Linked DNA regions of Danio rerio. The protein of the gene in region 4 purifies or fractionates together with the protein of the main gene of each other region. This does not show direct contact. Links are inferred from orthologs where the notes say so. Each region holds a gene or a part of one and is shown on either strand. Other genes may lie near its edges. The genes, in order: xpc, numa1, camk2d2 and wdr76.

What was found.
Region 1: the proteins of wdr76 (region 4) and xpc purify together in Homo sapiens (affinity purification with mass spectrometry; 3 studies listed by BioGRID and IntAct, with this or other methods). This does not show direct contact. The link is inferred for Danio rerio from reciprocal best matches to the Homo sapiens genes WDR76 and XPC.
Region 2: the proteins of wdr76 (region 4) and numa1 purify together in Homo sapiens (affinity purification with mass spectrometry; 3 studies listed by BioGRID and IntAct, with this or other methods). This does not show direct contact. The link is inferred for Danio rerio from reciprocal best matches to the Homo sapiens genes WDR76 and NUMA1.
Region 3: the proteins of wdr76 (region 4) and camk2d2 purify together in Homo sapiens (affinity purification with mass spectrometry; 3 studies listed by BioGRID and IntAct, counting the BioPlex papers as one, with this or other methods). This does not show direct contact. The link is inferred for Danio rerio from reciprocal best matches to the Homo sapiens genes WDR76 and CAMK2D.

The regions. Positions count from the first base shown.
Region 1 is NC_133183.1:27,920,962-27,928,334, reverse strand, and holds part of xpc (DNA repair protein complementing XP-C cells), read right to left. Parts: intron 5,422-7,373; coding exon 5,261-5,421; intron 4,059-5,260; coding exon 3,977-4,058; intron 3,869-3,976; coding exon 3,737-3,868; intron 3,642-3,736; coding exon 3,472-3,641; intron 198-3,471; coding exon 104-197; intron 1-103. UniProt on the Homo sapiens protein: Involved in global genome nucleotide excision repair (GG-NER) by acting as damage sensing and DNA-binding factor component of the XPC complex. Has only a low DNA repair activity by itself which is stimulated by RAD23B and RAD23A.
Region 2 is NC_133190.1:46,761,145-46,768,787, forward strand, and holds part of numa1 (nuclear mitotic apparatus protein 1), read right to left. Parts: intron 7,307-7,643; coding exon 7,166-7,306; intron 6,726-7,165; coding exon 6,612-6,725; intron 5,746-6,611; coding exon 1,306-5,745; intron 730-1,305; coding exon 520-729; intron 1-519. UniProt on the Homo sapiens protein: Microtubule (MT)-binding protein that plays a role in the formation and maintenance of the spindle poles and the alignement and the segregation of chromosomes during mitotic cell division.
Region 3 is NC_133176.1:15,616,433-15,624,543, forward strand, and holds the start of camk2d2 (calcium/calmodulin-dependent protein kinase type II delta 2 chain), read right to left. Parts: upstream 4,632-8,111; 5' UTR 4,369-4,631; coding exon 4,307-4,368; intron 808-4,306; coding exon 713-807; intron 1-712. UniProt on the Homo sapiens protein: Calcium/calmodulin-dependent protein kinase involved in the regulation of Ca(2+) homeostatis and excitation-contraction coupling (ECC) in heart by targeting ion channels, transporters and accessory proteins involved in Ca(2+) influx into the myocyte, Ca(2+) release from the sarcoplasmic reticulum (SR), SR Ca(2+) uptake and Na(+) and K(+) channel transport.
Region 4 is NC_133182.1:30,166,876-30,174,981, forward strand, and holds the start of wdr76 (WD repeat-containing protein 76), read left to right. Parts: upstream 1-3,057; 5' UTR 3,058-3,111; coding exon 3,112-3,162; intron 3,163-3,681; coding exon 3,682-3,843; intron 3,844-3,946; coding exon 3,947-4,015; intron 4,016-4,093; coding exon 4,094-4,189; intron 4,190-5,094; coding exon 5,095-5,147; intron 5,148-5,294; coding exon 5,295-5,406; intron 5,407-5,494; coding exon 5,495-5,593; intron 5,594-5,693; coding exon 5,694-5,734; intron 5,735-5,853; coding exon 5,854-6,004; intron 6,005-6,124; coding exon 6,125-6,280; intron 6,281-7,282; coding exon 7,283-7,395; intron 7,396-8,106. UniProt on the Homo sapiens protein: Specifically binds 5-hydroxymethylcytosine (5hmC), suggesting that it acts as a specific reader of 5hmC.

The DNA.
Region 1 (7,373 bases), on a different chromosome or scaffold from region 4:
CATTTTCACTGCAGTTCTACTTCACAGGTAAAAGTTATTTTATCATTATTATTTTTTTTTAAATACAATCTTTTTAGATTTGAACTACATGAAATCAACACACCTCCTGTTCTTTCTTCTGCTGAATTTCTTGCTCGTTTTCCCAGGCTGCTTTCAGGATTTCTTCGTGTTCTTCACAGACGATATAGCCGTCATTTCTGAAACACATCGGTCAATCCAATTACAGATCATAAAATTAAAATGACGTCCCGCAATTTTCCATTCAGAAAAAAAGCAACAACTTTTAGAGCAAATTGAAGGGGAACAACACATGCTGTTTGATACTCTTGGTTCTTCTGCTCTTGATAAAAAAATAAAAAATAAATAAATAAATTCGTACATTTAGACCTTGTTGTTAAAAAGAAACATAAAAAAAGACAGAGAAGTAATTTTTTTAGTGAATAGATAATACTAATAAAATACTATTAAAAAGGTTTTTTTTAAATAATGGGTTAAAGGTAATTAATATGGGGAGACATAAATATCGTTTCCTCAATTATCTTAACAGATTTACACTGAAATCTAATGATTTCTTTAGATATTTATGTTGGCTTGGGAAAGCCAACATACTGTTATACTATCCTGTCCTTTAACCAAACATATCTCCTCCTAGGCCGTTCATGCTACAAGGCCCAAATTTGGTCAAAATGTGCCTTCAGCATTCAAGATTGTAGCTTTATCTCCTCATACCAATCAGACTTATCGTTATTGAATAAAAAAATGTTAAATATTACATTTTAATAATCTGTGCATATAAAAAATATTCAAGCCACAAATTTGGCCAAAAGCTGTACTTTGCATTAGATTTTAATGCTATATCTTGTCAGGTTTACCAGACTTATAGTTTTCCAATAATACATTTTTAAGCATTATTTTTCTCAAATATGTCAAGCCATAAACTCCATAACTTAAACTCCATGGGCTCTATTTTGACGATCCATGCACAACGTGCAAAGCGCAGGGCACAAATGCATAAAGGGGGGTGTCAGAATCCACTTTTGCTAAAATAAGGACGGAAAAATCCACTTTGCACTGTGGCGCATGGTCTAATGCGGTTGAGCTTACTCTCTTAATTAGTTATATGGCGCCGCGCCATAGCGCATTTGCTATTTACATGACGACTTTGTAAGTGGAAAAGCTGAGCATTTCACTAGCAAGAAAACAGTTAAACAGAGCATCTGCAGCGCGAGAATGAGAGATAAGCCATCTCATTGTTTACTTTCACTTTCGCTCTCGCGGATAGGGAAACGTGCTGTACGCACAGACATACATTAGCCTTTAAATAATTAATTTCATTTAAGCACAAAGATTTGTTTCAAAACTATTTCTAAATTCAGTTCTGATTTCCAGCAAACAAATAAATGAACGATAATAAAGAAGTGTGTTCAAAAACTGAGTTATACATGGAAGTATGGTTTTTATATTTATGTACGCTAGAAAATAATAATTTTTGCAATACTTTAATCCTTTAATTCTTTTTCATTTGTAAAGATATTTGTGTATTGCTGTTCATTCTGTGTGTATTAAGCATGTAAATAACCTATGCTAGAATCTGACAACTGTTAAGAAATTGGGAGAGTTTTCAAATTGTCAAAAGAAATTGGGAATTAGAATTAAACACTACAATAGAGAATGAAATGTGGAAACAAATATGCACGAATTGTCATAAGGGTATAAGCAGTCAAATATGGAAGGAGTTCAACTTGAAAAAGATGAAGATGAGGTTTTTCAGAGTTCAGAGAACATACAGGGACAGAGATTGTGTTGTTTTCACACACAATCAGAGAGTGAAATCTAATACCTTTTAAGACTCTTTCCATACATTTTAAGACCTTATAACTACTTTAGGCTTCACCTGGAAACACTGGCGAGATTTTAACTGGCAGTATATTTACTAAATATTAATGTAAGAAACTAACCCAAAACTAAAACATTCTTCACATACTGAATAAAAATCTATTAAATCTAGCTAAATCAGCAGGTTGCGCCTATAGAACTGCAGAAATTATGGTGTTGCCTACTAATACTGCAGTAAACAAAGCAGCAAGCTGTCAAATCTAGCAAGATTTCACTGATTTCATGAACTACACAGCATCCTGATATTCACAGATTTAATTCAGGCAAACTTTAGCATAAAGCCATAGATTGCATAATCAAAAATGATATAAAATGTAATACCTTGCAAAATAGCATTTGAGACTTTTTATTACTTTTTAAAACCCAACAGACACCCCGCAGTTCCATCAGTGATCGCTAAATTCGATAGTTCTATACAATTATCACAATGCTGGAGAGTTTGTGGAGAGATGGTAAGAGGATAAAGGGGAGTTTTAGAATACGACATATCAATGCACCCAGTTGTTTTTTTGCTTGATGGCTTTTCCCCCTGATCAGTTCAGTAAGTCTCCCCTATTTTCCCAATTTTCAACATTTATAATTCATAACAGCTAGAAAAATAATTACAGTGAACTGGACGAAAACCCGCCAAACTACTTTGAAAGAATTGACACAGAGGCTGGATCAGATATATGTATTTGAGAAAATGACTGCAGATTTGCAGGTGAAATCAGATATTTTCTAACAGACCTGGTCATTAATTGAAACACACTTGCTTGATCTTTGAAATGCCGTCAGGGGCTTTGTTGTAGTTATTGTCTTTATATTGGAGTGTATTTATTTATTTTTCTACCCCCCCCCCTTTTTTTTTAAGCTGTCACTATTATTTATTTACTATTATAATTTCCATCAATTGGTATTTTCTATCTGTTTGTTTATTTGTTTGTGAATGTAAATATTCTAAGTAATTGTTATGTGTATAATGTTTATAAAAACTTTAAAAAAACACAGTTACATTTTTATAGTTATTTTACTTCAATCAGTGTTCACTATAGTCATTTAAATTACAAGAAATATAATAATAATAATAATAAAATAGATAATTAATTAAAATAAGCAGTTTGAATTAAAAATATTAGAAAGAAATCACATTAATTTATATCAAATTCAGAATAAACGATCAAGACTCATTGGAGATCCAGTCCAACACCACAGACTTTCAGACCTTGCAGTTATATGCTTCTGCATAGACATCTACATTTCTTCTGTTACATTGGACAGTTTTATTTTTGATCATTTAATGGATACCATCTTTGCTTTAGATGTTAACTTTTAATATATGATAAATTATAATGAATCTCAATTGCAAGGAAAAAGTTAGAGATAAAAAGTTTAAAATAAGATACCATAATATTTGCTCGTCATTATGCATAAAAGACTTACAAGTAAACGCATGGATTGAGGTGTAACTCGTTAATGTTAGTGAAGCATTGTGTCGTAAATGATGAAAAATCTTGTCAATAGCAAGAAAACGGTTCATATTTGTTGCAGTTTTGACTGGATGAAACAAAACTTTAACTTTACACGCAAACTTACACTGCATGGGCAAATCCACAATGGTAATCAAAACCGGTCACTGCTAAAGCGCAGTCTATGTTCAGTTTCCGAGCCACTCTGTGCAGGTTTGGCAGATGCACGTGAACACATCCTATGGGCAACATGCACGACTTAAACATGTACACGTTCCCGAACTCATTGCGTGGTACCTGCAACACATAAAAATGCAGATCAGAACTTTAGCCAAAAAGAAAACAAAAACAGATAATTAAATCTATATTTAAAGCTTGTTTCAAAAACTCACTTTGCCATCTACAGCAATCGGAGGTTGATACTCTTCAGTTTGCCACGTTCCAAAAAGAGCCAGATCCTTGACATTTTTCTGCTCCGACATCATCCTGGCTTTACGGGAACGGTTGGAAAAACCAAGCACCATCTGAGAGAGAGTATTTCATGAGCAGGATTGAAAATATTTTTTGTAATTTATTCTATTTATAAGGTAAAATATATTAATAAAGCATGTTCAATTATGATCAGATGAGACCTTGTATGGCTCTTCTCCGAGTCGAACTGTTCTTGCTTCCTTCAGCCAGGTGTCTCTAGAATGGAGTGTGTGCACACAGTCTCTGAAAATACATCGAGATTATAAACAAACATGGACCATATTTATTCATTCATTCATTTTCTTTTTGGCTTAGTCCTTAAATGAATCACGGCTTACCGCAGCGGAAAGAACTGCCAACTTATCCAGCATGTGTTTTACACAGCGGATGCCCATACACCTACACACTCTTGCATTCACACTCATACACTACGAACAATTTAGCTTATTCAATTCACCTATAGTGAATGTCTTTGGACTGTGGGGGAAACCAGAGCACCCGGAAGAAACCCACACAAACACGGGGAGAACATGCACACTCCACACAGAAATGCCAACTGAACTGACCAAGCCAGGGTCGAGTCAGCGACCTTTTTGCTGTGAGGCAATTGTAGCACATTTTCACCAGAAAGGTTAAATGAAGTACTTAATCTACCACTAGCAATAAAATAAAATAAATTAAATCTAACAAAAAAGACATTAAAATGACTAAAAACTATTTTCACTAAAATAAAAAAATAACTAAAATAGTAATAAACATGATCTAAATAAATACTAAATTAACTCTGTTTAACTAATATCAAAGTAATAGTTCACACCAAAATTAAAATCCTGTCATCATTTACTCACCCTTTACTTGTTTAAAACCTTTGTGACTTACTTTCTTCGGTCGAACACAAAGTAAGATTTTAAAAAAGGTTGGAAACCTGGAACTATTGACTTCCATACTATTTGGTTGTCCATCTATGGAAGTCAATGGTTACAGGTTTTCAGCTTTCTTTCAAATATATACATAGAATAAAGAAACTCATGAAGGTTTGAAACCACTTGAAGGAGATTACATTTTCATTTTTGGATCCCTTTAAAAAACCTTTATAAATAATGTCTTTTTCATAGTTTGTTAAGGTTACCTTATCAGTTATTCTTTAAAAAATATTAAATCTAAAAAATATATTTTTATACATCCATTATTAGCGTTGCTGTCTAAATTCATTAGTTATAGTATTTAAAATGCTGTTTTTGTTTTCATTTATTTTGACAAAACAGAATTCAGTGTGGAGTCAACCATTTACTAGTTATTGCTTATAGCATGAAAATAACTTAATAAAGTTTTCCAGGGCAGATTAACAAATGAATGTTCATCCATCCTTCATGCTGTACATTATAAGACTGTGATCCCTGCATTCACATATATATTATATCTATTTATTATATATAAGATATTACCGTGAATAAACAGGCTCTCCTCTGCAGTAGCCCAGGACAGCAGCTGTAGCAGGATAAAGAGCCTCGTACTTCAGCAGGTGCCTCTTCAGTACATACAGCGGATGGTTTTTGTATTCTGAGACGGATGTTGGCAATGGCTTGTCCAGTAACTTTGCCTGCATCTATGAAGGAGAAACAAACCTGAGTCTAGTTGGTTTACATCCTATGTCTGTGTTTACCTATCAAACATTTAGGGTCAGTAAGACTTCTTGATTTTTTTTGAATGTACAAAAGAACAGCATTTATTTTAAATATATGTATATATATATATATATATATGTATATATATATATATATATATATATATATATATATATATATATATATATATATTTACAATAAATGCCCTTTCTGTCATTTATTTCCTTAGTACTGAATAAGTGAGGGTTGTATCTTACTTGTCCAAATTTCTGAATGAAAGTGTAAGGCGCTGTTTCCATCTGGTACTATAATGCAAATTTGAACGTTCTAAATGCAGTACCGTCTGTTTCCAGCTGGTATTATAGTCTTCAAACGCTCATTGTGACCACCTGTGTTCAGATTTCTCTTCCCACTCATTTGGTCACACTCTACATTACTTTCACAGGAGCATGTATTGTGACACACAATTATTATTGAATGGATAAACAGATGTTACGCAGTTTATGAGTGACCAGGAAAGCATGTGAATTAAAAAAATGATGTGAATAAAAACTATTATTTTTTAGGACATCCTCTTTGTGTTTTTGTTTTGGTGTACTTTCATTCCATAATGAGATCATGTTAAGTCAGTAGCTAGAGACTACGTGGTCTTTTGTGGCTGTTGAAGATAGGTTTGTCAAAAGTATCGAATTTGTTACCAGTTAATACAGGAATTTTAAAAACACTCATTTTTCACTAACATTTGAATGCTGTTGAAACGTCCCTACACACTGCTGATTGGCCAGTGTTCACTTGCTTTACAAATATAAACATGATTAGCTCTGAAGGTCATCGCTTCACCAATTTTCACTGCTTTTCACCAAGCATGAACAAATATTACTAGACAGTGGATCACTTGAAAGCCACGTCTTTCAGAAGTCAGCAGATCTCTCATATACAAGCATATTTGACAACCCTAGCCGCATTTCATAACAGCACTTACACTAATTAGAAATCTCTGGAAGTGGCCAACTGCACTTGTTTGTTTATTAAAAAAAAATGTTATCAGTATATTTTTCATAGGACTGCATGATAAAAAGAAATGAACTTGAATTCACGATTTAGCACAAGCTGTGATTCTCATGCACATCTTGTCAGGGAAGCTTGGCCCTGTGATCAGTTGTAAATCTTCTCTAAAGCCCAGAGAGTGCTCTCGCACAGAAACTGCAAATATGCTGCAAAGAAGAGATCCAGAAAATCAGAGGATTTAACTAAAGTTAATGGATAAGTAGGAAATCATTAGTAGAGTAGGTGAACTGTAGCGGCTCATGTTAACGCTAGTACGTGAGAAAAGAGACCAGAGGCTGTTTTGTTTTAATGGAAGTCAATGGATGAGGCATCGCTACATACAATAATCAGCTTTTGTGAGAAAATAACTTATCATTTAATCAATCGAAAGCCTGTTCAACATGTTTTACACTGTTCACCATGTTCATGGTAAATCACATGCATATTTTGCCCTAATAAATATAACCCTAATGTAGGGTTGTCACAATAGTGGAATACGATACCAATCAGTACTGAAATTTCAAAAAACGTCCATTTCCTGCGAACACTTAAGCGCTGTTGAGCACGTTCTTAAACACCGTTGATTTGCCGTTGTATTTATGTGCTCAACAGAAATTACTGTGGTTGGCCGTGAAGGCCATTGGTTCACCCAACTCATCGCTGTTTACTGCGTGTAACCACAGATACAGGGACACTGGAGGGTTTTAAAGCCGTGATTCATCACCGGCTCACTGGTATGTCAGCTTATTAGACAAACCAGCTGATTGACATGACTTTGAAACTCTTTAGAAGGATTTATTTTAGATGTTATGAAGCGAGTTTGAGTAATCCCATGTTTTTAAATGTGGTATTTTCATGTACTTTCAGATGTAGCAGCAACACAGAG
Region 2 (7,643 bases), on a different chromosome or scaffold from region 4:
GGATGTTTAAAAAAAATATTTGCAGTTTTTATGTAGCTACCCTTATAAAGATAAAGATATTAATATAGATATATACCAGGTCCATAAAGATATTGTGCCTAAATAAAAAAAAAAGAGTTGGGCCTAAAGAAGCTTATATTTCCAAGTATTTTGCCTGTTTTTGATCTACATCAACACTAAACAGGAAACATTTTTGCAAAATCTCTGCCTACCCACAACATACAAACACTCTGAAATGGGCATTTCTTTCCCACATAAAACAGATTTGGAAAGACCAATCAAAACAGACTTCGCCAGCTGACCAATCAGAGCAGTGTTGTTTGTGGAAGGGAGAGGTTTACAGGCAAGAGCCAAACCTTTTTCAAACAAACCTTATTGAAATCACTACAAAATAATTATATTAGATGCAAATTCTGGAAATAAGTACTGTTTTCTGACTTTAGATGTGTTTAAACCTGTTGTATGAGACTCCAACACAATATTAGGATGCTTAAAAATCCAACAACGTCATAAACTTACTTGGGCCTCCAAAGTCTTCACTTTAGCAGCAAGGCTCTTCTCTTTATCATTGGCTTGGTTGAGCTCCATGCGAGCCAGGGTTAGTTCAGTTTCCAGAGCTTTAGCTTCTCTCTTGCTGACCTCCAATGACTGCTCAAGAGTTTTGTTCAGCTCTTGAGCCTCCAGCAGCAGCTGCTTTTTACCATTGTAGTGATTCATGGCCTTCTCCACCTGAGACATAACCATGATACATTAAGGCCCAATCCCAATTCTATTTTTGTACCCCTACCCCATTCCCTTGGCCCTTAAAACAGAGTGTGAATGGGAAGGGCTTCAAAATTTACCCCTAAGAAATGGGACATCACTACAGCACACGTCGTCATATGCCATCGCGATCTCTTCCTTCAAATGAGATCAGACGATCTCAACTGCTGTAGTTATTTCAGTTGTGTTATTTTTTGGCATTTATCTTTAAAAAAAACAATTGCTGAATCACCCCTCCCCCTTAGCCCTACGCCTTCAAGCTAAAGAGAATTGGGACACCCCTACCCCTTCACGTGAATGCGCAAAACGAGGGGTAGGAGTAAGGGGTAAAATTGGGATTGGGCCTAAGACTTGGAAAAACGAACAACACTTTTCTACGATTGGGTCTGAATGGTTCTTAAAAAGACAGTTCTACCAGGCTCACATGGAAAAACAACTAAACACTGAAACCGTACCTGACCAACTGTTCGACCCAATAGTGGAAAAACAACTAAACATTATGGTTATGTAATGGGAATTTTAGAAAAAGCATGCAACCCATACCTGTGCTTTGTAGTGCTCTACAGCTTCTGTCTTTGCCTTCAGCTGCTCCAGGAGCTCCTGATTCTGCTCCTCCCACTGTTGGGAAGCCTTTTTAAGTGCAAGGATGGAAGCAGTTTGTTCCTCAACGTTCAACTCCAGCTCAGCTCGAATCTTCCGGGACGCTTCACACTCTCTTCGGATAGTCTGGTTTAGAGATTTCAGATGGTCCTTTTCTTGCCTCAACATCTCCAAATTCTGCTGATTCTGTTGACTTTTGTCAGCTTGAAGCTCAACAATTTTCTTCTCCAGATCCTCCTTTGTCTGATGCATCTCAAGGACACATGTCTCCTTTTGCTTGCATAGTTCTTCCATTTGTTTCAGTTTCTGATTTAAAGTTTGCAGAAGCTGGTCTTTGTCCGAGACATCAAGACGAGCAATTTCAAGCTGTCCTTGAAGGTTTTCAATTTTCTCCTCAAACACTCTGAGGAGATCATCTTCAGACTGTTTAGCTTTCAAATGCTGACTGTTTATTTCATCTTTAAGAGAACTTATTTGTGCCTCTCTCTCAGAAGCAAGAGTGGAAATCTCTAGAATTTTAGCCTGAAGATCACCTGCATCCTTCTCAAGTTTCTGAGCCTTTTCTTGAAGTTTCTCTTGTTTGCAAACCTCATTTTGAAGCTCAGACTCTTTCTGAGAAGCTGAAACGGTCAACTCCACCACTTGCTTCTGAAGAGTATCCAGGTTCTCCTGTAAAATGTTGTGTTCATTCTCTAAAACAGAAAGCTCATGTTTCATCTGCACTTCTTTTTCCTGGTAACTTTGGATTTCAACTTTAAGAGAGGTTAGTTCATTTAAAAGGTTGTCTTTGGCCTTGCTCACTGTTTCCAAATTCTGCTGGCATCCTTCCAATTGCTGTTTCTCAACAATAATCTCACCAATCCTCTTCTCCAAATTCTCCTTTACCTGAAGCAAATCAAGAGCATATTTCTCCTTTTTCTTATACAACTGATCCATCTGTGTAACCTTTTGATCCAAAGTCTGCAGAAGCTGGTCTTTTTCGGAGACATCACGACTAGCAGTTTCAAGTTGTCCCTGGAGGTTTTTAATCTTTTCTTCCAACACTTTGCGGAGATCATCTTCGGACTGTTTGGCTTTCAAATCCTGATCATTTAGTTGATCTTTTATAGAAGTTACTTCAGTTGACAAGAGGTCTCTTTCGCTTTTTACCATTTCCAAATTCTGCAGGCAGCCCTCCAGTTGTTGTTTCTCAGAAACAAGCTCATCAATCTTCTTCTGCAAGTCTTCCTTTGCGTTCTGCATCTCAAGAACTGCATTTTCCTTTTGCTGGCACAACAGATCCATCTGTGAAACCTTTTGATGCAAAGTTTGTAGATGTTTCTCTTTTTCCGAGACGTCACGACTACTAGATTCCAGTTGTCCTTGAAGGGTTTCAATCTTTTCCTCAAAGACTTTGCAAAGATCAGCTTCAGACTGTTTGGCCCTCAAACTCTGATCATTTATTTGCTCTTTCAGAGAAGTTACTTCATTTGACAGGAGGTCTTTTTCCTTTTTTACCATTTCCAAATGTTGCAGGCAGCCCTCCAGTTCTTGATTCTTAGAAACAAGTTCATTCATCTCTTTCTGCAAGTCTTCTTTTGAGTTCTGGATCTCAAAAACTGCATCCTCCTTTTGTTGGCAAAGCATCTCCATCTGCCTCAGCTTCTGATCCAAAGTCTGCAAAAGACCGTCTTTGCTTGTGGCATCACAACTAGCAGTTTCTATTTCTCTCTGTAAGGTTTCCACTTTTTCCTCCAGGACTCTACGGAGATCATCTTCGGACACTTTAGCCTTCAAATGACCCGTCAATTCTTCCTGAAGAGAATAAGCAACAGCCTCCTTCTCAGAAGCAAGAGTGGACACCTCTTGGACTTTAGCTTGAAGTTCTCTCACTCTTCTCTCAAATTCCTCATGCCTGGCAATCTCAAGCTCTTGAGCCTTTTCGTGAAGGCTCTCTTGTTGATGAAGCTTGTTTTGAAGCTCTGAATTTTTCTGTGAAGCTGTAGTTATCTCCTCTGCTAATTGTTTCTCAAGGGCAGCCATGTTTTCCTTTAAAGCATTGTTTTCAACTTCCAAAACAGAAATTGTTTGTTGTTTCTGCATTTGAGTATCCTGGTAGCTATGAATCTCCTCTTTTAGAGATGCTACTTCAGTTGAAAGATGATCTCTTTCATTCCTCATAATTTCTAATTTCTGCTTGCACTCCTCAAGCTCAGCAATTCTCTTCTCCAGGTCCTCCTTTGCCTGATGTGTCTCCATTACATCTTTCTCTTTTTGAAGGACAACCATTTCCATCTCTTTAAGCTTTTGATCCAAAGATTCCAGTTGATGGTCTTTGTCTGCAGCATCTCGACTGACTACATCTAATTCTCCTTTCAAGATGCCAAGCTTCTCCTGCCACTCCCTGCAGAGATTATCTTTAGATTGGTTGGCACTCAACTGTTGATCCCTCATCTCATTTTCAAGAGAAATTACCTGGGCTTCCCTTTGAGAGGCAAGAGTTGACACCTCTAGAATTCTGTCCTGCAGTTCCTTCACTTTTTTCTCAAACTCTTCTCGCTTGATGGCCTCAAGCTCCAAAGCTTTTTCTCTCAGGGTCTCTTGATGGGAAAGCTCCTGTTGAAGCAAGAGGAGTTCAGATTCCTTCTGGGAAGCAGTAATCATCGCCTGCTCTACTTGATCCTGAAGATTAACCAGTTTTTCCTTCAAAACATTGTGGTCAGTCTGTAAATCAGAAAAATCCTGTTGGGAACGATGAATTTCCTCTTGGAGAGATGATACTCGAGTAGACAGATGGTCTCTTTCATTCCTTAGTATTTCTCGATTTTGCTGAATCTCATCTAGTTGTTGTTTCTGCTCAGCAATATTATTCTCCAGTTGCTGCTTTGCTTGTTGACTTGCAATGATTTCTTCCTCCTTTTGACAGTACAGAAGCTCCATCTGCTTCAGACTTTGATTCAACGACTCTAAGTGATGCTCTTTTTCAGCAATTCCATGGTTAGCAGCGTCTAGAAGTTCCTGCAAATTTCCAACCTTTTCCTTCATCTCATTGCGTAGATCAGCTTCACACTGTTTGGCTTTCGATAGCTGATCTTTCATCTCATATTGAAGGGAGCTCACACAAGCTTCCCTTTCTGAGGCAATAGAGGAAACCTCAATAATTTTGGCCTGAAGTTCACTCACGATCCCCTCAAGCTCCTCACGTTTAATCTTCTCAAGCTCCTGAGTTTGTTCTCTTAGTGTTTCTTGATGGGAAAGCTCCTGTTGAAGCAAAATAAACTCTGATTCCTTCTGTGAAGCTGAAGTTGTCGCCTCAGCCAACTGGTTCTGTAGAGAAGTCAGGTTTTCCTTCAGCACATTGTGTTGTGCTTCTAAAATAGACAATTCCTGTTGTTTCTGTGCCTCATTTTCACTATATCTGCAGATTTGCTCTTTCAGAGATGTTACCTCTGCTGATAAAACCAGCATTTGCTCTTGTTTTTCTGATGCGGCAGAAGCAGCGCAATGAAGCTCCTGCTGAAGTTTTTCAACAGTTTCCTCATGCTCCTTGCGATTAGATTTGATCATTGCATTTATTTCAACATTTTGCTCCTTCACAAGCTTCAGCTCGTTGTCTACAGACTCATACTCTTTCGTCAGGTTTCTGATTTCTTCATCTTTAAGAGAAATCTTTTCACACAGATGCAGAATCTCAGTCTGGAGGCTTTCGATTTTAACCAAAGCCTCACTAACCTTGTTCTCTTCCTCAGTTTTCTCAAATCTGAGTTCATTTACTTCCGCCTGAAGGTCTCCGATTGCCTTTAGATGATTATTCAGCTCCTGCTGCATTGTGCATGCTTCATTTTTCAGGGAATTGTTTTCTGCTACCACTTTTTGATGCTCTTCCAGCTTCTTCTCATATTCCTGAACAGTAGCCCTAGCGATTTGTAAATCGCTAATGAGGGAATTAATTGCATCCTGTTGAGAAGCTCTCTCCACTTCCAGCCCCTGGATCTCAGCATGCAGAGAATGAACCATCCTATCTAAAGATGCTACCTTTCCTTCCAGCTCCTCTCTCTGTTGGCGGAGATCTGCAGATATTTTGATCTCTGCTGTCAGCTGCACTTCAACCTGTTGCAGACGGGAAACGTCCCTCTCCAGTGCTGATATCTGCGCAGAGAGCATCTCTTTCTGCGTCTTTAAGGCCTCCTGAAGTGTTTCTCTCTCCAGACGGATGCTGTTGATGGATTTCTCCAGATCAAAAACCACCAACTGGAGTCTTGCGGTTTCTTTTTCAAAAGAGCATCTCTCCTCAGCCAACAAGGCCTCAACTTCTGCCTTTTTCTTCTCGAGGTGGGAAATGGATTCCTGAAGCTGAGCGAGTTGAAGAGTGAGATCAGCCAACTCTTGTTTGAGCTTTTCCCACTGAGAAAATCAAGAGATAAAAACTGGTCAGTTCAGCTCAATATGAACTGTAATTACATTTCTTACATGGATAGTTCACCCAAAAATTCACTAATTTTCTCACCCTATACTTGCTCCAAATCAAGGCTGAGTTTGGAGACAGAAGTTATATGGAAGAAATCTGGAAACCTGTAATTACTGGCTTGCATAGTATTTGATTTTCATAATATGAATTTCAATGGTTATAGAATTTCAGCCTCCTTAAAAATAACTTCTTTTGTGTTGAACAGAAAAAAACCCAAAGGTTTGGAACCACTTTAGGGAGAGTAAACAGCGAGTACATTTACATTTTGGGGTGAATTATCCCTTTAACACATAGTGTGAAATTAAGACTTGATAGTTTCAGTGTTAATTTTATCAATAAACAAATGTAAAATGTTTTTAAGCTTTTAAATTAGCCTCTGATAAGGATGAGAATAATGAATGTGGACAAAAATCATAGTTAAAAATGTATACTGTTAACAAAAATAAAATTTAAAAAACAACATGTGCATTAATGTTGGAAGAAGACATTTCAAGCAATCTAATTCACAAATAAAAGTGAACTTAAGTTATGCACAAGTTAACTCAAATTGAGTATTTTTGATAACAACAAACTAAAATGAACAATAACTTTCAAGAGATCAGAAAAATCAGAAGGCCTCTTAAACAAGGGCTGGCTTGCTTTTGCTAGATGAGTTTTGATGAATTTTTCTAACTAAGATGCAATTTTAGTAATAGTAAATTTGACTAAAAATAATACAGATTTCCTAAAATAATAAACTACACGATGTAGGATTTCTTTATTAACAAAAAAGTGTGAAAGTGATCACATCAAAGCATCTCACCTCCATGATGGGCCCCAGCACCTCTCCTCTCTCCTGAGACTGAGCTTTCTTCAGTTCATCCTCCAGAACAGAAATCTTCCCCTGCAGTATCAGCACCTGCTCACTCAGACACTCCTGCACAAGAGAACAGCACCAGCAAAACTGATCAAACACTCTGGTGCTTATTTCACTCAAAGCAAACAGAACATATATCTAATGTGCAAAATATGGAGAGGACGAATTTTTCTTTAAAACTACAAATGGACAAATATCTGCAAGATTGGGAGAAATGGATTGTAATTATAGCTTTACACAGAGTAATCTAATTTATATATGTATTTGTTCATGTGACCTGTAAGGAAATATGTGACCTGTCAACTGCTCATTTAAGTTCAGGTGTTTTATTGTATTATTTATTTTATTTTATTTTTTTAAATCTACTATTTGTATTATTTCCCTTGTTTTTTTTTTCTTAAAAAAAGATAAATAAAAATAAAGTATAAAAAAAAGCAAACAGAACATGATTAACACAATAAATACACCAAGTACTGCTGAATATAACTGAAATAGTCTACCTTGTGTGTGACGGCCTCATTCAGCTCCTTCTCCAGCAACTCTTTCCTGTTTTTCCACTCCGTCTGTGCAGATTCATGAACCACTGTGAGTTTGGCAACTTCCTGCTCTGCTCTCGCCAGCTGAGAGAAAACATTACGAAGCTGATGGGGACAAAGACACTAATATTTTAGACTCCAAAATTAATAATTATTATTATTAAATAATTAAGTAAATAATAAAATAAATACATTTAATTATTAATAAAAAATGTAAAAATTACATAAACAATGAAATAATATCTAGTCAAATAAAATAAATAATAAATATATACATAAATTAATACAAATAAATAAATGTAACAATAATGATAATTGTAATTTATTATTACTAAATAATTAAGCAAATAATCAAATAAACAAAAAATTACATTATTATATATATATATATATATATATATATATATATATATATATATATATATATATATATATATATATA
Region 3 (8,111 bases), on a different chromosome or scaffold from region 4:
ATTCCTATGAATTTGTACAGTTCAGTCGTACGAAATTGTAAGATTTTAAAAAAGAGGCGTGGCACCCAACCCCACCCCTAATCCCGTCCGTCATTGGGTGATGAGCAAGTTGTACTAAATTGTATGAATAAGATCGTACAAATTTATACACATTAGCCACTTAATCAAAAAGTTGCGAATTGCTGTGAGATTGCATTGCGTTATCTCAATACTCAACAACAATATCGCATATTTGTCCAGTATTGTACAGCCCCAGTTTACAATGAATATTACTAATATATTTTAAAAAGAGATTTCGTATATCCCCTTGTGGAAATGGAAAATACACTGGTATGTAAAACAAATAAGTATTAGTAGCATGAAAACAGACACTAGCGAGTTATACTGATGAAATAATGGCTTGACATACACAGGCACTCAAAGCCCTTAATCCAGACTCATTCATCCACAGTTTTTCAGACTGATATGTGGATGTATGTGATTCTCGAACATATAATCCCTTCAGCTTCTTCACAGCTCCACTTAGACACAAGCAAACGTTACGTCAGAACACACGCACGGAGCTCCAGATGAGACCCAGATGCAAAGTCTATCCCGGTTTAACCGGATGTGCAGCAGAACGTTGCCATGTTCGGCTTCACTAGATGCTCCACTGCCTGTATTCAAACCTGCCCCGCACCTGACAGGAGCCCACTAAATAAAAATCACCTACCCCTGGCGGACAGCTTCTTTGTGTTGATGATTTTGGCCGCATACTCTTGGCCGGATGATATCTTCACGCATCGCCTCACGACAGAGAACGCGCCCCTGAAGAAGAGGGAAAAAAGAGAAGACAGTGAGGGAAAAAATGGGCACGAGGCCCTGATGCCGAACAGATAGAGCATATGGCATGGAGAGCAGAATCTGTGCCATGACGGAGGCACAGCCTGAGCACTTCCAAGGTTACACAACTACCATTTTCCACGGTTGTTTGTCCGTGTGTGTTTGATGAGCGTGTGTGGGTGTTTTAAAATTGCTTAGCATATTCGCTGAACACATGCACACACCAAATCTGTCGATGTGCTTGTAAGAAATGAGGGGGTTAATTATGTATCACCTTAAATGTGCTTTTGTTCTTCTGATATGTAGAATGAGGCAATGCGTATATTTATTTATTTTTTTGTAAATATGTAGAATTGCTTCAAATTAATTGTCATTAATGTGTACAGACATTTATGATTAAATAAATCATAGCGTACACTTACAGTATTTTGATGATACATGAATTTACATTGTACTTATGTTTAATACTACCTACAGATGTAAATACCTGTAATTTCTGTAAATATGACTTTGATTACATGGTTTACCCAAACCCTAGCTCTTAAACAACTCTTAAACGTCCTCATACCACTAAACCTGTTATTAGCCTTGGCTGTATTTAACGTCAAGAGCAACAAAAAACACTTGCAATCAAGCATGAACACAAATACATGTGTATGTGTACATATAAATCTTTTCAGATAAGTACATAGTAATTCAATTTAAATATTAAGTAATCCACCTAATATAAAGAGTAAAAGAAAAAACGTGACCTTTTACTATAAATACTTACTGTAAAAACAAAGACAAACCAGCAGACCGAGGAACAGCTTTTCCCCCAGAGCTGTCTCCCTTTTGAACTCTGCCTCCACTGACTGTTTTGCCCTCTCATACACCCCCACACTCTCCTCATAACTTATACTCCCCATAATCACTGCACTATTTAATATTTGCACATTTAAAAAATATCTCCTTACACTACATTGCACTGATTCATTAAATTAATTTTGAATTGTAAATTACCCACAGTACATACATTTGTAATTATGTTCATATTTATCTGATTATTAATAGCAACCTGTACCTATCTATTGTTTATTTCTGTTCATAGCTAATACAACCTGTTTATAAAGCACATTCATCTGTAAATATCACCATATAACTGCACTTTATAGCTTCTATATCCTATATTTGCGCTCCTACATTGCACTCCTGCTTAGACCTAAACTGCATTGTATGTTGCCTTGTACTTGTACATGTGTAATGACAATAAAGTTAAATCTAATCTAATCTAATCTAAATATGTACACTCTCGGAAATAAAGGTACGCAAGCTGTCACTGGGCTTGTACCTTTTCAAAAGGTAAACATTTGTACTTAAAGGGTACATATTGGTACCTCAAAAGTATATATTAGTACCTAAAGAATTTAAGAGGAACTCTTTTGTACTATTTAGAAACTAATATGTACCCCAGGGATATTAATATGGACCTTTTAGGTACAAATAGCTTTTGATAAGGTACCACCCCAGTAACAGCTCACTTTGCTTTATTTCTAAGAGTGTATAAACAGGCTTGATTTTAATTAATTTGTTCATTTTATAAATCGTCACCTTAGAATTATAAGGTTCTATTGACTTATCCTTATTAAATGACAACTTGTTTACATTATGGGCTGTTTTTTACATTACGGGAAGTTGTTTACATTTTAAGACTTTATTTAAAAAACAAATGTTACACACATACTGTTTGCTATATGGAATTCAAAATCTTTGAAGCTCAATATCTCAAAATCGTTGAGAACGCAGATAAAACCTTATAATTCCTAGGTGATGAAATGTCGGAGAATGTTTCTTACAAATCCTAAATAACAGATTGACATTTAAGCAATTTTAACCAGAAGATAATAACTAATCAGAATAATAATGTCTATTTTTAATCACAACTTGTTGAAAATCAGGCTTATTCCACCAAATATCTAACGTCTAACTCTATTAAAGTAAAAACATGGTATTGTTTCAAAATCAATAAGAACATAATCTAAATGAAAGCATTTAACTCTAAATTTGGGGGTGGGAGGGTGCCATATAGTTGGGGCAACAGATGAAAATTAGCCCTTGTGGCTAACTCTGGCTCGATTAATAAGCATTGGCCCTTGTTAAATAAATACATTTCATTTCAAATGAAACAAAAGCAGATAAATTTAGAGAACTAAGAGCTAAAGCGCAGACCTCTTGTTTAGTGGATGTGATGATCCTAATGGAATGTGCTCGAGCAGCATACTGTTGCTATAGTAACCTCCTCTTCAGGTGAAAGTGACATAATAATGTCTATCTAGTGTACTCTGACCAGTATCTTAATTTAGTGCTTTAGTGAAATGTTGGTTGGAAACATTGCTACAACTTATACTTGAACGTTTTTGAATATCATTTTTTTAATTTTTTTTTAAATCGGTTTGATTAAATTGGTAGACTAATATTTGTCTTTGGGTTTAAACATTTTACTTTAAAAATCAAATATTTGTTTACTTAAGATTTTGAAGAAAATTGATCAGACGTTTATGGAGCCAACTGTAGTTAAATTTATTCTAAGCAAATCTAGAGACTCTGAAAATTATCTTCTGGTCAAATATTTATGTATATTCAATAACTGCATTCATGCATAACTCATGCATGACCCTCTGCCTGTGGTTTCGGGGATTTCGCTCAATATCAGCCTATAATTGACAAAAAATGCATATGCAACAGTGGAAGCCAACGCGTGCTGCCCATTCTTCATACATGATGCCACCGCGCAGATGGCGCAGAGACGCTTCGACAACATCATATTTTACGCAACGTTATTCCAGATTTCAATTTAAGGTCACAGCGGGCTTAAAACGGACTCGATCCGGGTCATTTTAGATCTGAACGCATAAGCACATCGGAATAAATGTATTACTGCATGCTCAAAGGGTATCTCCTCAAACGCGTACAGATCGGGACCACCGATGTTGGCCTCTGCTGCGCTCCCTCCCCCCTCCCCGGTCAAACGCAGCGCAAGGAATCCCCAACGCGATAATTAACGACACGGGAATGCGTGTCTGCACTGTTGTCGCATTGCCATGAGTATTTCTGTCTCCGGGGGGGAAAAATCCCGAGCCCCACCCCCCTTAAAATGTACATTATACCAGCTGTTCGGGTTTCTGACGTGATGATCACAATGGCCGCGTCACAGAACCTAGAACGGTGCCCACATACGCTGCATTTTTGGGCATCTCGTTTGGAATTGCACCGTTCCAAACGCGCCCGAGATTGTCTGTGAACGCCGTCTGGTTTGGCTGCTAGCAGTGCAACTCAAGTGTCCAAGCGCTCACGGCAAGGTTATTATTAAAAGCGTTCGCTGCAATTCCAGCGGAGCTGTCAAATGCAAGACGCATCATTTCATTGTGCGTTCGGAAACCTCAAGCGTGCGTATTATATAACAAAACGCACAGGAATGCAATGCAGTAGAAAACCCATCACTCACTTTCCGAGCTCCTCAAAAAGCTGATATTCGTCCGTGAATCTGGTGCAGATGGTCAGAGCCATTGTGATGGGGAATCGGCAGCGCGAGGAAGAGGATGATGATGCGGGGAAGCGCAGTCAGTCTCCTCACTCGTCCCTCCTGTAGACCAAAAGGAGAGCACTTGAAGGATTTTTTCTTAGCTTCTGCTTTGGTTCCTGGTCTCTCGAAGTGAGATGCGCCGATCAGAGTCTGATGATCAGATATGTAAACCAAGGGGTCGATGATCACCAACGGGAGGAAGAAGCGCGTTCACATCCGACGGTTCCATGGGTTCATCATTATGCGCGTTGACGTTGCCATCTCTCTTGAACGTGTTTGCATACAGCAGCACCTCGCCCCCTTCTCCCCTCCCTTCCAAAACCATGCCCCGCCCTCTCAAATATCATGCACTTGTAGAGTTTTCGTATTCATACCTCATAAATCGCCATGGCAATAATATTATTAATAAAGTCAAATGAATAATTGATCACAAGGAAGCATTTTAAAATGAACCGCTCCGAAAGGTAAATCGTGATAAAACTGTCACTTTAACATACAAATTTTGGACAATCAAAAAATGAAGAAAATTTACTTTTGTGGATAATTTAAAAATAAAAGTCATGTATGCTACTTTCATTCAGTTTATTTAGAATTTGTAAATTTAATTTAATGTTATTATCAATAATTTTTGTATTATTATTTGTATTAATTATTATTATTATTGGTATTATTAAGTATTCTTATTATTATTGGTACTATTTTTAATATTATTATTATTATTAGTAGTAGTAGTAGTAGTATTTGTATTAATATTATAAATTGTCATTATAATTGTTATTATTACTATTCTTCTTCTTATTATTATTATTGATATTATTATAATTAATTTTGTTATTGTTGTTTTTAATATTATTATTATTAATATTATTATTATTATCATTATTATTATTATTGGTACTATTATTATTATTATTATTATTATAAATTATTTTTATTAGTAGTAGTAGTAGTATTAATTAATTCATTTTCTTGTCGGCTTAGTCCCTTTATTAATTCGGGGTCGCCACAGCGGAATGATCCGCCAACTTATCCAGCACGTTTTTACACAGCGGATGCCCTTCCAGCCGCAAATTATTATTATTATTATTATTATTATTATTATTATTATTATTATTGGTAATATTATTATTATTAATCATTATTATTATCATTATTGGGCAGCACAGTGGCGCAGTGGGTAGCACAATCACCTCACAGCAAGAAGGTAGCTGGTTCAAACCCAAGCTGGGTCAGTTGGCGTTTTTGTGTAGTTTGCATGTTCTCCCCATGTTCTCCCCATGTTTCCTTTGGGTGCTCCGGATTCCCCCACAAGTCCAAAGACATGTGGTACAGGTGAATTGGATAACGTAAATTGTCCATACTGTATGTGTATGAATGTGTGTGTATGGCTGTTTCCCAGTGGTGGGTTGCAGCTGGAAGGGCATCCACTGCATAAAACATATGCAGGATAAGTTGGCGGTTCATTCCGCTGTGGGAACCCCAGATTAATAAAGTGACTAAGCTGAAAAATAAAGAAAGAAATGAATTGTTATTTTTATTGGTATTATTATTATTATTATTATTATTATTATCAATACTACTACTACTAATACTACTACTAATAATAATAATAATAGGCTACATCTGTCATCTTAGTTCATCCAGAAGAGGTTGCTTGAACACATTTGTGTCTAATTATTATATACTACACTAGACGCATTGTGTTAATTTTGTATTATTTTCAGAAAAATAACAATTTACATTTTAAATAATATCAGTTTTCTTCAGACACAGCTGGTGCTAAACTAAAATCATGTAATTCAAGATACCTTAATTTGCTAATAATCCTAATGAACGCAGATTATCTGGTTAATCAGACCTATCAACATTTAGGTGAGCCTATTTACATAAACTCCAAAATACTTCCAAAAGTATCATGATACTAAAACTGTTCATACTCAAAATACATACTAATAACATATGTGAGAAACAAGGTTTAAAATACACAGTAATAATAAAAATTATTTCATTCATTTTGGTTTTGGCTTAGTCCCTTTATTAATCAGGGGTCGCCACAGCAGAATGAGCTAACTTATCCAGCATATGTATTACGCAGCGGATGCCCTATCAGCCGTAATCCATCACTGTGAAACACCTATACACTCTTACATTTACATACATACACCACAGCCAATTTAGCTTACCCACTTTACCTGTACCGCATGTCTTGGGACTTGTGGGGGAAACCGGAGCACCCAGAGGAAACCCACACAAACACGGGGAGAACATGCAAACTCCACACAAACTCCACTCTGACCCAAAACCAGCGACCTTCTTTCTTGCTGTGAGGCGAAAGTGCTACCCTGAGCCACCGTGCTGCCCCAGTTATAAAAATATTAAATCTTACAATTGTTAGATCTTGTGTCACTTATATTTTTTTTACAATATGACAATCAAACAGAATTGATGATATACCTAATTAAGAAAAAATAACCTGTTGCAGTCATTAAATTAAAGGGACAAATCAAATAAACTAAGTAATTAATGAATAAATCAATCTAAATTAGTGGTCTATTTAGAAAATTTAGTAAAGAATTGAATCTTTAAAAAAATGTGTGTCTGTCCTGCAAAGTTTATAGCTCCAACTTGCCTCAACACACCAGTCCGGAAGTTACCAAGCCAATATCTTTATAGCTGTTAGGTGTGTTTAATTAGGATTGGAGCTAAAAAAAAATTGCTGCTCAATTTCCCCCCAGGAGCGAGTTTAGACATCCCTGGTTTAAAGACAAGAATCTATAACCTCAATACCGATATGATGCCCGAGCGCAGAACTGTTACGACGCATCATCACATCTCCAGCTGGCATCTCTATTCTCTACGCATGCCTAGTGAGGAAATGAAATCCATGGTGCACTACTACATGCTAAACACAAGAGTGTGCTGCTGTACAGGCCATATTGTTTACAAAATGTTCATCTGGTTAATTGAGGACGTTCGAAGTCTTCCATTTTCAAATGTTTTTGTTGAGTACATTTTTTAGCTGAAAACCTAAAATGTCAACATTTGTCTTCTGGAATCTCTCATTCAATGAAAATCTGCTTTTAGGATGAATGTGACGCTGAGGTCAGAGGTCATTTAGAGTTTACCTAAGATTTGATTAACATTTTATGTTTGTTACATTCAAGAGATCTACAAATTTTTGTATACTTTGTCAAAAGCTCATGTGGCAACTATTGACGGTGGACAAATATCTTGTTGGTACATACATACATCATGAGAAATTAGCGATAATGTGTTACTCAGTTAATAATTCAAGGTTATTGGACTTGTTTAATGTTTTTTTGCTTTCATATCACCCCATCTAAAAATAACTTGACCATTTAACTGATATCTTTAATTTAAAGAGACTTTTGGATACACAATTTGATACACAGCAAATTCAACTTCTCCCACTGGTCCCACTCCCACAACTATTTATTTTTCTGTTATAGAGAGATTTACTAAAATCTTGTTTTTTAGGCAACCATTGTGGAGAGTATTATTTACTCTACATGGGCTCTTTGACTCAATGGTTTTTGTTGTTGTTTTCTTCGACTGCTGTAAACTCGCAGTGTGGGAGCAAATACTGTACTCTTGGGATTTTGCTGTGTAGAGAATAAGACATTGAAATTGTTTTATTATTTTTAATATATTAATTTCAAATTTTAAATCTTTTTGACACACAGTAGTTTATTGGGGAAAGCAAGAG
Region 4 (8,106 bases):
GCCAAATACAAAGGTCCTTTGTTGCAGTGTACCAAAGTACTGGGCTAAAGTACTGGGTAACACTATCTGAGAATAGATGTAACAGTCAAGTAAATTGGTGAAATAATATCTACAATTCTCCAATATATCTGGACGCAGCCTTTATGATGCAAGCTGAGATTGCAATGATAGACACAATGCACTCACGATGTCACTGTGAGGTGTAGGGTTAGAGGTGGGGTTAGGTGAGCCTATTAAAAAGCATTGTATCCAGCTCAGAGTGCATTATTAGTTCCATACTGCAGTCAGATCCCTATCCATTATCCAGTTAATGAATTACTTAAAAGAACAAGATGAGTAATTAAATGAATAAATAATTTTCCTTTGGCTTATAGTTGCTGATTCATCATGGGTTGCCACAACAGAATGAACTGCCAACTACTCTGGCATACCCAGCTGATGCTCTTCCTGCTACAAATGGGAAGCACCCATACACTCATGGGAAATTTAGTTCATCTATTTCACCTATAGCACATGTCTTTAGACTGTGGGGGAAACCAGAGCACCTGGAAGAAAATCCATGCAAACACGGGGAGAACATGCAAACTCCACACAGAAACCAGCGACCTTCTTACTGTGAAAGTGTTAACCACCTAGCCACGTCACTTAAAATAATATATTTAAAAAAACAAACTGTGCGTCTGTGCATTTGTGTGTGTGTTTCTTTTGAAACTTTAAACTTGACATTGTAACAATTTGCTGTGTATGTCAGTGAGTGTATGCACTTTTAACATTTGCCATTAAAAAAGGAACATAGAGGAGGAATTAATACATTTCTGAATTAGGGTTTGATTGTTTCAACTGTTACATCTACAGGACCTCCTTTTACAGCATCAATTTGTCTTGGGAATGACAGATGCAAGTCCTGCACGGTGGCCAGAGAGATTTTCTGCCATTCTTCTTGCAGAATATTGGCTAGGTCACAACGTGATGATGCTTTAGGAAAACGTTTCCTGTCTCGCCCCTCTAAAACACCCCAAAATGGCTCAATCACATTTAAATCTGTTGACTGTGCAGGCCATAGGAGATGTTTAACTACACTATCATGTTTATCAAACCACTCTGTCACCAGTCTTGGTGTGTGTATTGGTGCGTTATCATCCTGATGCACGACACCGGCTTCAGGATGCAATGTTTGAACCATTGGGTGATCTTCCCTTGAAAATGACATGCCCATCTAGCACAATTATTGAGCCCAGAGAATGCCTTGATATTGCAGTCCAAACCTTCACGTATCCACACCCATGCTTCACGCTGGGCAAGCAACAGTCTGAGTGCTACACTTCTTTGGGGCTTCTCCACACTGTAACTCTCCCGGATGTGGGAAGACAGTGAAGGTGGCTCTTTTGAACTTTTTTATATGTCATCCATAATGCATTGCAATGTGTTGAGCAAAACTGTGCTAATACTCTAACAAATAAACATTCACACTCTGCTCTTACTGAAAGAATGTGCAATTAATTAAGATTGGCCTCCTCCAACACTAAACTGGCAATGTTTCAGTTTCATTGTTCAACCTCTGTATATAGAAATTCTTTTACTTCAATATTTGAATGAGTGAAATATAAGTGATAAACAATATTTTAGTCTTAAATAGTTTTCATTTATTCATTTTGTTTTTGGCTTAGTCCCTTTACTAATCTGGGGTCGCCACAGCGGAATGAACCCCCAACTTATCCAGCATATGTTTTACGCAGCGGATGCCTTTCCAGTCGCAACCCAACACCGGAACCACCCATACACTCTTACATTCACACACATACACTACAGCCAATTTAGTTTATTCATTTCACCAGTACCGAAGCACCTGAAGAAAACCCACGCGAGCACAGGGAGAACATGCAAACTCCACACGGAAATGCCAACTGACCTAGCCGGGGCTCGAACCAACGATCTTCTTGCTTTGAGGCGATTGTGCTACCCACTGTGCCACTGTGCTGCCCCAATAGTTTTCATCACAAATTAATTAAACAGTATCTACATATATCATTTATTTACGATGTACCTGTTTGGCTTACTATATGTCAGTACTGCATTACAGTAGTGTAGAATGCATTTTCAGTGATTAACTTTCCTTTAGCTTAGTCACTTTATTCATCAGGGCACGCCACAGCGGAATAATCCGCCAACTTATCCAGCATGTGTTTTACGCAGTGGATACCCTTCCAGCCACAACACTGGGAAATACCCATACACACCCATTCACACACATACAGTACCTATTTAGTATATTCAATTCCCCTACAGCGCATGCATTTGGATTGTAGAGGAAACCGGAGCACGCGGAGGAACCCCATGCCATCACAGGGAGAACATGCAGACTCCACACAGAAATGCCAACTGCCCAGCTGTCAGCCGAGGCTCAAACCAGCAACCTTCTTGCTGTGAGGAAACAGTGTTAACCACTGAGCCACTGTGTCACCCTATAGAACGGGTAGTTCAAGCAAAAATGAAAATTTTACATTTAATCATTTATCAGACTTATCCAAAGCGACTTACAGTTGAGGAGACATTCAGCAATTCAACAAGAAGAGGCAGTACACACAATAAGCAGGAATTATGCAAAGGAGCTGTTTGTGCTCAGAGAATTAGGTGCTAGATTTTTTTATCAGTATTTTCTCACCCTCAAGTCAAACCTTTATGATATTCGTTCTTCTCAAAAAAGTGCATTTTAAAGAAACTAAAGAGTAATCATTAACTTCCATAGCAAGAAAAAATAGCCTACTATAGAAGTCAATTGTTAAATGTTTCCAGCGTTCTTCTTTGTGTTCAACAGAAGAAAGAACCTCAACAGGTCTGGAACAAAGTGTGAGTGAATAATGACAGAATTTTCAGCTTTGGGTGAACTATCCCTTTAATTTATCACCCAAACATGAAACGTCACGTTAAAACACCTCCCAGACCATGAATATTGAAGTTGCTCTTCTGAGATTGTCGAATCAACCTTCGCTTTTTGGATGTCATAACAAGCAGGGGGCGGGGGCAGTTACGAAACCGCTCGTACGCGGGAGTTTTCATAACAGCTTGATTTCAAAGGAAGTGTGTGTGTTGAATAACCTCGAGAGCGTAGACATGGATACAGATAAAAGTGATTTAAGTTTAGAGACGATGAAGCTTTTACAGGTGAGCCGAGGTTTGCTCGCTACTAAATGTTTCTCACTTCCACACAATATATCAATAAAACACGCGCTGATACCTTGCAGTGTGTCTTAGGTCTGCATGCATGTATTTATGCTTTAACGTTACTTAAGTGTTCTGTACTGGTAATGTTAGCTTGCATGCTGTTGAATTGACGTTTGATGGACAGAAAGATTCAACTTTTTACCTCATTACACGTACAGGCAAATACAATTGCCAAGTAACGTTACAGCTGAAAGTTGTCGGCGTAATGTATTGAAATGTGTGAGGCACGATAGTAAAGACGTTTGTATTTGAAAGAAAATAAATGTAAACACTGTAACGGGCGATTAAAAGCGATTCGGTGAGTGCTGTAGCGTTAGTGTTTATAAAGAAGTTTTGAAATTACAGAACCTGCTGCAGCAGCTAGTGATTTTAGCGCCCCCTGTCGGACACAGTGCTCAGACACACCGCTGCTGGTTAATAAAGTTATGCGTTCAAAAAAATAATTGTATCTCTTTTTAGGAGAGGACGCCGCCTCAGAATCCTGGAATGGACGGGTCCGTGCTTCGGACGTCTCGGCGAATAAAAGAGAAACAAAATCAAAGGAAGAAACAAAATTTACCCCCAAAATGTCTGACCTTTAGGTCTGAGGTGAAAAGCACCAAAAGAGTCGTCAAAAGAAGGGTAAAGACATCTTTTGTTGACCATTTCAACCTCAGCTGTGTTTTTGAACATATATGTATATTTATTGAGTTATATGTTATATCATTATATATTTCATCCCTAGATAAGTGGCAGTGAAAAAGAAAAAGAAGTTAAGAGGTCAAAAGCAGACCCTGATCATGAATCTCTTCCAGTAAGTACAGTCAGTAGTCTGACTAGTCTGCCAAAATGTAGACTGTCCACCTGAAAGGCTTTTCTTTGTCCTGTCAAGCAGGGTTATCGTGAAGGTTTGTCTGAATATCAGCTGGAGCGATTGGAGAATATCAGAAAGAACCAGGCCTTCCTCAATTCCCTGAATCTGACCGAGGTAACTTAGCGAGGCAGCAGATTTAAAATGTTGCATTCTGTGTCTTTGTTAGTTGTACACGTTTTCATTTTCATTACATTTTCAAGGTATCTGCAGGGTCTTAGAAAGTCTTGAAGTCTCTAACATTTTAAAAACAAAAGTTTAGGCCTTAAAAGTCTTGAATTCACTAAATTATTGTGTTGTAGGTCATTTTATACAGGTCTTAATTTCCCTCTGTCCAAGTAAACCTGGCCAATCTGACCAACACCAATCACCTATAATCCATCTCAAAACTTTTTTTAATAGCAAAAATCAGTCTATGAAGGCAGCTCTCTGCCAAAACGTGCATAGGTTTTTAAAGGATTAGCCATGTGAATAAAGGGTTTTTAATGTTTTTTTTTTTTTTTTTTTTTTACATTTTTTGAGCGCCTTGGACTGATTTTTGCAGTTTATTCTGATGAATCCCTTACCCAAAGAGCACCAACACATTATTTAAGCTACCCCTGAGCACTATTTGTTTGATTTAGTTTTTAAACAAAAAAATATATATTTACGTTTTTTATTGCAAAGGGACACAATTCACAGCAGTTTTTAGACATTTTTTAAAAGCAAATTCTCCAAATTAAACTACCCAATCAGGCAAAGAAAATTAAAGCAACACATACCTTTAGATGATCTTCCATTAATACAAAAACTATTTACAGAAGTAACCAGGTTATAAGAAAAAAATGCTTAGTGTTTAGCCCTGTATAAATCTAACCTTTAAGTCATAATGGTCTTCAAAGGATCCTAAAAAGTCTCAAATTTGATTTGATGAAACCTGCAGAAACCCTGAGATTGACATGCTTGACTTTATACCCACTTATTTATGTTCAGTATTTTGACATGCTTGACTTTATACTAATATGAATGCGACTTGTTTACAGATTTCTGAAGCTCTGAGACCCAAGCAGAAGCCTACACAGAAAGGCCTGAAAAAGTAATTGTTACTTAATGTACATATTGTGACAAATGTACATAATTAATATATTGATGGAACCTTTTTAAACCACTAGTATTATTTTCAATTATATTTAAAGGTATTAAAAACATCTCACTACTAAAGATATTCTATTATTAAATTTAGAGAAAAGACCCAAGTGGAGATGCTTCCAGTTCGAAAGTCACTGCGGTTACAGAATAAGGGTCCTCAGAGTACCACTGCTACAGAATTTACCTTTCCTACAACCTATGAGCTTGTAAGTCATGTGTCATTTAAAAATAAATAAATAAATAAATAAATTTACACTGAAATGAATTGATATGAAATAAAACTGTCCTTACTAGGAAAAAGAAGCTAAACCCCCAGGACCTATTCCACTGGACCCTATCAACTTGGACGAAGATGCCACCTTACCTGATGATTTGTTAGATGTCTGGAATGAAGTCAGTCACATGCTTAAAATATTCTTAAGTTAACCACACATTGATAATATAATAATGACTTAATAATAACCCAAAATCTGTTTGATTTCATCACGCTTAGGTCCCGTTAGAACAAAGCACAGGAACACCAGATTTGAAATCGTGAGTAGAATCTAATAAGGAAAGAGAGTTTGCTTGTGCTTGTAATTTTGCAATTTCTTCTCTCACTTAAGCAATGAATATATTATGTATTGTTAAAGAATTGCTGAACTTGTTTTTAGGTATGAAAGAATGTTGAAGAAGTTATCTATTGATGACAGTCGTGTTGTGAAAGTTGTGAAAGAACGAATCTGTTGTGCAGCTTTTCACCCTTCCTCAAACTTGCTAATGGCTGCAGGAGACAAATATGGCCACCTGGGACTCTGGAGGCCGGTGAGATGAAGAGAAGAGAAATTTGTGAAAGTTGCATATTGGGAATGAATGACTATTTACTAATAACTGTTCTGAATTGCTGTGTTGTGTTTATGATGATGTAAACTGTGTTTTTTTCAGGATGCTGAATGGGGGGATGATGGTGTAGTCTGCTTTGAACCCCACTCCCGTGCAATTACTGCCTTGGCTTTCACATCTCAGCCGTGCAATCTCATCACAGCGAGTTATGATGGCTCTGCACGCAGCATGGACCTGGAGAAGGCTGTGTTTGATGAGGTAAAACAGCTAATGTACCATCAAAAGACACTCAAATATTAATAATCACAGTAAAAAAATAATATTCAGCTATGATGAAGATTAAATGTTACTAACGTTGTTAGAACCTATATATATGCACCTGCATCTAGCAGGCGAAATGGTAGCTCACTGGTTAGCACTGGTTCGAGTGTTGTTGAGTTTGTATGTTGTTCCGGTGTTTGTGTGGGTTTCCTCTAGGTGCTCCGGTTTGCCTCACAGTCCAAAGACATGCGGCACAAGTGAAATAAAAAAACTAAATTGGCCATAGTGTATGAGTGTGTAAATAAAAGTGTATGGGTAGTGGGTTGCAGCTAGCGGGGCATTTGCTGCATAAACAGGGTGTTTGTGGTGTCTTAAAATGTCTTCAATTTCAAAAGCTAAAATTTAGGCCTTAAGTTTTAAATTCACTGAAATATTGTGTTGTAGGTTTTAATCATTTTAAACTGGCCTTGATTTTCCCATGTCTAAGTAAAGCTATCCAGTCTGGCTGACACTCAATCAACTATAAACTTTTCTCAGAACTTTTAACTTTTTATATTTAAGTTTTTTTATTGCAAAGAGACACAATTCACAACAGCTGTTAGACATTTTTACAGCAAATTCTCCAAATTTAATTTTCTAATCAGTTAAAGAAAACTAAAGCAACACATCCCTTTACACGATCTTCCATTAATACAAAAACTATTTACAGAAGTAAACGGGTTTTTAGAAAAAATGCTTTGTGTTTAGCTTTGTTTAGGTCTAAAATGTCATTCATAATGGTCTTAAAAGTGTCTCAAAAAGTCTTAAAATTGATTTGAATAAATCTGCAGAAACCCTGGTAAAACATATGCTGGAATGGTTGGTGGTTCTGAAATGGAGACTAAAAAGAAAAAAATGAATGAATGAATGAATGTATGAATGCGCATCTAGCAAATAGGCATCAAAACCTTAAAGTGTGCAGTCTTTAGTGCTTCACAATATAACATCTCTATTTTGCAGGTGTATCGCTCATCCTCTAGCTTGAAAAGCTTTGACTTTTTGTCAAGTGACTGCTCCACCTTGCTGTTTGGTGAATGGAATGGAGACGTTGCCGTTGTTGACCGTAGAACTGGGTAGGACCAACATATATAACATGTTTATAGATATTTATACACAGAGAATTATTAGCCCTCCTGTGAAAGTTGTATTACTTTTCAAATATTTCCCAATAGAGAGATTTTTTTTAAAAATGTAATAGTTTTAATGACAAATTTTTAACAGGTAATAGGGTATATGCAGAATAACCTGGGTCTAGTGCTTCCGGTGAACTGTATGCAGAAAAGTTGCGTGTTTGAGGTCTGTTTTCTTTAAAAATCAACCATCACTGCCTGATTGATATACAATATAAAGTGGGTCTCAGATTGTACAAGAAACGCTGCTTTAAATGAAATTTTCCCACGCCATAATATGGACATTTATTTTACTCCAGTGTTTTTGGTGTTTCTGTGCTCGCTAAACGGCTTTTCATATCGTTTTACACTTGAACAACTAAATGAATGCCGAAGTCTATTTCACTGATTGTATTTTAATTACATTACAACATCGATGATGTAAAAGGAACCGTATAAAATTGAAAAAAGTCCCATTAACTGTTCACCGGAAGTTTATTGGTATGGGAAAGAACACTAGCTGTGCATATAACCTATTTCTATTGTCGTGATAACAGTGCAATTCAGGGTGTCTGCGGGGTCTTAAACAGTATTTAAAGTTGATAAATCAATTATGAGAAAATTAAAGAGAAAATGAGAAAATTAAAGCCCTTAAAAGGTATTGAAAAGTCTTAA